2 linked regions of the Saccharomyces cerevisiae S288C genome follow. The protein of the gene in region 1 binds, or shares a complex with, the protein of each later gene. Each region holds a gene or a part of one and is shown on either strand. Other genes may lie near its edges. A codon is read from its position in the direction of its gene.

The links.
Region 2: the proteins of VMA22 (region 1) and VMA7 are in contact, whole or in part, in a cryo-EM structure (PDB 8EAS), measured with the Saccharomyces cerevisiae proteins. Residues at the interface, in NP_011927.1 of Saccharomyces cerevisiae: Tyr17 (codon at 2,016), Leu20 (codon at 2,025), Leu24 (codon at 2,037), Tyr27 (codon at 2,046), Leu31 (codon at 2,058), Leu34 (codon at 2,067), Gln35 (codon at 2,070), Phe38 (codon at 2,079), Tyr42 (codon at 2,091), Leu45 (codon at 2,100), Ser46 (codon at 2,103), Tyr60 (codon at 2,145), Gly61 (codon at 2,148), Glu62 (codon at 2,151), Trp65 (codon at 2,160), Asp66 (codon at 2,163), Glu67 (codon at 2,166), Thr68 (codon at 2,169), Tyr69 (codon at 2,172), Ile70 (codon at 2,175), Gly71 (codon at 2,178), Gln72 (codon at 2,181), Leu73 (codon at 2,184), Met74 (codon at 2,187), Ala75 (codon at 2,190), Val77 (codon at 2,196), Val86 (codon at 2,223), Ile88 (codon at 2,229), Lys92 (codon at 2,241), Pro132 (codon at 2,361); in NP_011534.1 of Saccharomyces cerevisiae: Glu3 (codon at 1,758), Arg5 (codon at 1,764), Thr6 (codon at 1,767), Ile8 (codon at 1,773), Glu14 (codon at 1,791), Asp15 (codon at 1,794), Thr16 (codon at 1,797), Thr17 (codon at 1,800), Thr18 (codon at 1,803), Gly19 (codon at 1,806), Leu20 (codon at 1,809), Leu21 (codon at 1,812), Leu22 (codon at 1,815), Ala23 (codon at 1,818), Gly24 (codon at 1,821), Ile25 (codon at 1,824), Gly26 (codon at 1,827), Gln27 (codon at 1,830), Ile28 (codon at 1,833), Thr29 (codon at 1,836), Pro30 (codon at 1,839), Lys35 (codon at 1,854), Val39 (codon at 1,866), Gln41 (codon at 1,872), Ala65 (codon at 1,944), Ile66 (codon at 1,947), Leu68 (codon at 1,953), Asn70 (codon at 1,959), Ala90 (codon at 2,019), Ile91 (codon at 2,022).

Annotation. Positions count from the first base shown.
Region 1 is NC_001140.6:218,758-221,977, forward strand, and holds VMA22 (Vma22p), read left to right. Parts: upstream 1-1,967; coding exon 1,968-2,513; downstream 2,514-3,220. Other genes in the region: peptidylprolyl isomerase CPR2, read right to left, coding at 1-86; mediator complex subunit MED6, read right to left, coding at 240-1,127; mitochondrial 37S ribosomal protein mS41 FYV4, read left to right, coding at 1,351-1,743; GIC1 (Gic1p), read right to left, coding at 2,777-3,220. UniProt on the Saccharomyces cerevisiae protein: Required for V-ATPase activity.
Region 2 is NC_001139.9:526,287-529,080, reverse strand, and holds VMA7 (H(+)-transporting V1 sector ATPase subunit F), read left to right. Parts: upstream 1-1,751; coding exon 1,752-2,108; downstream 2,109-2,794. Other genes in the region: post-initiation translation factor DPC29, read right to left, coding at 577-1,449; UGA1 (4-aminobutyrate transaminase), read right to left, coding at 2,437-2,794. UniProt on the Saccharomyces cerevisiae protein: Subunit of the V1 complex of vacuolar(H+)-ATPase (V-ATPase), a multisubunit enzyme composed of a peripheral complex (V1) that hydrolyzes ATP and a membrane integral complex (V0) that translocates protons.

The sequences.
Region 1 (3,220 bases):
TGATCAATCAACTCACCCACATCAGATGCAATAACATTAACGCTAAGGAATAATAACAACCAACACCACAAGCCACTGAATTTCATTTTGTTTTCCCTTCGTGTCTTTTTCCTCTCATTTCTTTCCTTTTGGGGGAACTTCTTATGATGGGTACATCGATTTTTGAAGAAAACTGAAAAGTTGATTTCGCGGGGTTTTATAATATAGTACAAAGATATATGCAATTGCCATGGCAGTTCTCATATGTAGTTTGGGGTGGATCGAATGCTTGTGACCATTAATTTGTCCAACATCTCTGTAGTTATACCCATGTTACCGTTGCCAGTACGACCGGTACCGTTGTCTATAGTTTGTCCTCCTGTACCCATAGTGTTGACTGTCATGTTGACATTTGTGGTTGAGGGAACAGTCGCCATATTGGCACCGCCGGTAGGTCGTACACTGCTCTTGTTACTGCCCCCTCCAGCGTTGTTCCCGTTGGTGGCAGCCGTTGCAGTCGTGCTAGTGTCCGTAGGTACTTTATAGTGTACTCCTTGGGAAGGTTGAAACTCAATCAAGTCATACAAGCTCTCCAATGTGCTATTTAGATGGTAGCTCGTGGACATCAGCCTACTTTGCACAATTTTAAAAATTGTTGGCGATTGGTAAATGTTTGCACCAATTATGTAGTAGTCTTGCAATGGAATAATCTCTGGTCCCTTAGCGCTTCCCACACCAGAATTGTTTGTTCGTCTTTGCTTCCTGATAACCCAGAAGTCAGGCTCTCTTACGCTGCTCAATACGTATTCAGTACCATCTAACTTCATTAATTCCTCCTCCAGTTGCATATACATAGGATACTTGAAAAGGATTTGTCTTCTTGCCGGATCCACATAGGCAAACTCCTCTTCCAAGTTTCCATTCTTCCCATCTGGTAAGGTCATTATGTTTTGTGTCATATTCACGGCAGCATTAGGATCATTTAACTGGGAAAACTGCCTTTGCATTTTAATTACCTGATTATTCGACGTCTTATCGAAAAATGGTGATTCTGCAAAGTAATCAAGAACATTCTCAGTTCTCAAACCAAAAACTTGAATCCATTCTGGAGATTTCCATTGCAATTCATCCAACGGTGTCACGTTCATTTTGCGAAATCCTGCTTTGTTTCACTACTTGCAACTTTATATTCAGAGGTCTTCTCATCGTTCCACATTTTTCCACTCATTATTTATAATACGCTCATTATGTTAACCAAAAAAAATAATGCAGCCAGGCTTGAAATAATTCTGCCATCTTCAAACAAGAGCTATAAAACCAAAGAAAACTTGACCAAACAATAACAAACCTTCATTCAACACACGTTTTACTATGATACCTTCCCGGATTAGCCACAAATTTCCTCTATTCTTAAGGAGTTCGCTGGCCGCTCCTAAAGCTGCCTATCGTTTCAGTTCGACCATCCCCAAACCAAGCGATCAGGTACCTGACGTAGATGCATTTCTAAACAAGATCGGTCGAAATTGCAACGAATTGAAGGATACTTTCGAAAATAACTGGAACAACCTTTTCCAATGGGATTCTAAGATATTGAAGGAAAAAGGCGTGAATATTCAACAAAGGAAATATATACTGAAACAAGTTCATAACTATCGTAACAATAGGCCAATTCATGAAATTAAACTGGGCAAGAAGTCATTTTTTGGTGGTGAGAGGAAGAGAAAGGCATTTACTGCTAAATGGAAAGCTGAAAACAAGCAATAGACGCTTTCGCAAGATCTCAATATATACATGTATACGTATATGTTCACATTATACTCCATATTCTTGTAAATATATAATAAACTCAGAAATTGTTGTCCTTCATTCATGTTGATATTTATATGAAACGCTGACTGGGCCTTTCAAATCTTCATCGGTTTGAAATTTGAATTGTAAATATGTTTTGAAGATACGATGAAATGAAAAATTGACGGCTTAACGAGAAGATGAGTGAAACAAGGATGGCACAGAACATGGATACTACAGATGAACAGTACCTGAGACTTATTGAGCTACTCTCAAACTATGATTCCACCTTAGAGCAGTTGCAGAAGGGGTTCCAGGATGGCTACATCCAATTGAGCAGATCGAACTACTATAATAAAGACTCATTACGAGGAAACTATGGTGAAGATTACTGGGATGAAACGTATATAGGTCAACTAATGGCAACAGTGGAAGAAAAAAACTCCAAGGTAGTTGTCGAAATCGTCAAAAGAAAAGCTCAAGATAAGCAAGAAAAGAAAGAGGAAGAAGATAATAAATTGACTCAGAGAAAAAAAGGAACGAAGCCAGAAAAGCAAAAAACTCAGAGTCACAAACTTAAACAAGACTACGACCCAATTTTGATGTTTGGTGGAGTACTGTCCGTTCCTTCTTCATTGAGACAATCGCAGACAAGTTTCAAAGGTTGTATTCCCTTAATAGCCCAATTGATTAATTACAAGAACGAAATATTAACGTTGGTTGAAACGTTGTCTGAGCAGGAATAAAGAGTTAAGAATATAGTAAAAAGAAATAATACATACGTGTATATTTGAAGAAAGAAATAATCATTAAAAGTTGTCGTAGATTAATTATAATAAAGTCCATGGTTTGAAAAAGAAAAAAAAAAATTAAGACCAAAATAAAAGCTCAATACCCAAAAGAAAACCGAACACCGTAATAATACAAAATCCCATAAAACACCATGTGATGGACTTAAAGACAGAATTTGGAAGCAGTTCAAAGAAGAGGAGGAAAGAAGAAAACTAGTTCAGGTATTTCGAGGAGTACTAGTTTCACTACATTGATAGTAGAATTTTAGCACGTCATCCACAGATATTCTGTTACCAGGGGAATTTAGCGACTGATCTACATTGAAACAATTTCCTAATTCGGGCGTATGTAGCGCACTCAACTCTCTTGGCTTGAATTTGCCAGAAAATGATGAAACAGAGGGAGAGGAAGGATTGGTCTTTTCGCTGACGCTATCTCCAAGAACAGAAGGAAATGTATAATTTCTCAAGTCTTCCAAGGTCATTTCCAAATCTGTAGGCGAGTCTAATTGCTTATTGCCATTTGGGGTATTGTTGGTTTCGTTACCATCGTGGTGAGAATCCATCGTTGTAGCTATTGTGGAGGAAGACACTATTCTGCTCGAATCGTTCATCACAACATTGGAATATTTAGAAGAGACGTTTGAATCTGGTCGGGGTTG
Region 2 (2,794 bases), on another chromosome or scaffold:
CTTACAGTAAATAGCAGTATCCTTCGTTTTTCATCTACACTTTTCTACCTAAAATTGATCTTCCCGAAGAAGAAAAACTAAAAACTTCGATTTGATGACTGTCAAGACCCCAAGAAAGAGGGAAAAAAAAAAATGATATCTCATGCAACAACAAGTAATTAAGTGCTCCTTGTTCATGGAAGACACAACAGGCACCACTAATAACCTGAATGAGGCACCTTCGACTTTCGAGATGAGCCCTTAGTTCATCCTGGTGTTGTGTTTGAGAGGGGGAGAGCACATCATTGTACTTCCAGATCCCCCTAGCCATGATCTAATATTACCGCTGAGTAAAAATAGATCTCGGCTGCGTCTCCGTCTCCGCCCGCCTTCCGTCGGTTACTTCGTCGGTTCTTGCTCGACCCCCGCCAGTCCGCAGACAACAGTCCGCAGCAGGCAAGTGCTGGTGTCCGCTTGGTGTTTTTACGTACGATTGTCTTTGTTGTTGTTTTTACTCTTTATTACAGTTATTACTACTGTTTGTTTAGTATATACAGGTATTTGTGGTATTGATTATTTATTTACGGTTTGGTTGGATTAAGCGTTGCTAGCGTTAGTGTACAACGACGTCACTTCGTCGATGTCCTCGAGCGCTGTGGTCAGTTTCTGTAGTTTCTCGAGCGTTTCATCGCCTTGCACGAAAACTTCCATATCCGGCTTGGCATTGTAGCCGATGCCCAAGTCTCTGATGTGGAAACCACGCTCCTTCAGTAGGGCGGCCACCTTATTGGTATCGGCAGGTTCCATCACCGCCTCGTAAGTTTGGCCTGTAGTTTCAGTTTCGGTATCACACTCTAAATCTTCTGCGTCTTCCTGCACAGGCGCAATGTCTTCGATGCCTTGAATCTCCAGTACGCTTTCTAGCACCTTGTCCTCAGTGTCTAACATCTTCGGAGGTACCATTGTAACGTATCCTTTTTTGTCGAAGAAAAACAACGTTGGAGTCATCGATCCATTAGCTTTATTAAATGCACTCCTTATCAGACCTATGGTCCTGTTCTTGTTGTCTGTCAGCGCTTCCACCACTATAGCGACCCCGCCGGGCCCCATTCCCTCGTATACACATAGCTCAGAAGCGTTTGAGTCCTTGCCCGATGCGCTGCTTCCAGAAGCTTTCCGGATGGCGTTCTCAATAACTTTTTTGCTGACATTGTTTTTATTTGCTAGCTCGATGCTGGTGGCTAATCTTATATTCATGCTCGGATCCGTAATACCGTTGCCTAACTTGACTGACATTGCTATCTGGTTTGCAAACTTGTTATTAATTTTGTTTCGTTCCGCATCATTCTTGGCTTTACCGTGCTTGATGGTTGACCATTTGTTGTGACCTGAACGTACCGAGGAATTCAGCACACTAAACGATCGAGAGTTTTTGAGCAGTTCACCCAGATACCTATTTCTTACCAACATTTTCCAATTTTTGATGCGTTCATACCAAGTTTGCTGTTTTTCTTAGTTATTATCATCATCTTTCCCCTTATTGCTGCTGAAACTTGCGTACGTGCGTACTAAAAAAATTTCACTGCGCTTACGCCGGTAAAGGGAAGTAGGAAAACGAAAGAAAAAAAAAAAATAAAGGCGAACGATAACAGGAAAACCAACGTGAATTGCAAGCACTACATTTATTATATCGAGTTGACAAAGAATTAAGAAAATAGAGCACTACATTTCTATATTCATAGCTAGTCTCACTGACGCATAGTAACTAAATCATGGCTGAGAAACGTACTCTTATAGCTGTGATAGCTGACGAAGATACTACAACTGGTTTATTGTTAGCCGGGATTGGACAAATCACTCCTGAAACCCAAGAAAAGAACTTTTTTGTTTACCAAGAAGGTAAGACTACTAAGGAGGAAATCACTGACAAGTTTAATCACTTTACTGAAGAGAGAGACGATATTGCCATCCTTCTAATCAACCAACATATCGCGGAAAACATAAGAGCTAGAGTGGACTCCTTCACCAATGCGTTCCCTGCTATTTTAGAAATTCCATCTAAAGATCATCCCTACGACCCTGAAAAGGACTCTGTATTGAAGAGAGTCAGAAAGTTGTTCGGTGAGTAAGCGAACGATCTTTCCCAAAACAAACACAATTACTGGTAGATTACTAGTAGCAGGCGGAGGTGGAGGGCGGGAGCCACTGTTATTGCGTTTGTATAATATATACACTCATAAATGATATATTTAAGGTTCAGATAAAAACAACTTTTTTTTTTTTAGCACGTCTTTACTGCAGTCACCAAACCCATTTTTTTTTTCCTATTGTGAATACCCGCCCATATTTTTCACACACAACTGATGAGTAATATAAAACTTTTCTTTAAAATTATAACAAGATACACATATATAAAGACCAAAAAAGGGAACGTGACACGGCCTCGCTAATATACAATCATAATTCATTAACTGATTTGGCTAATGCTTCAATAAAGATATCAGCATGCTTCTCCTCGAATGTTAATGAAGGTCTTAATCTCACTGCATGGACTGCACATCCACCAACGTTGCAACCATTCAACTTCAATTTCTTCAATAGTAAGTCTCTCTTCTCACCAGTAGGCAAATCCCAGGCAATGAATGTGCCTCTTCCTTTACCTCTCAAGTTTTGAAAGTTTTCAGGGTATTTCTTCTGCAAACCCTCCAATTTCTTGAACAAATAATCACCTACTCTTGAACATTGTTCAGTCAACTTCTTGTCGGAGATTTCCTGTCCAATGGCACCTGCAATGATCATTCTTGCAGGTTCACCA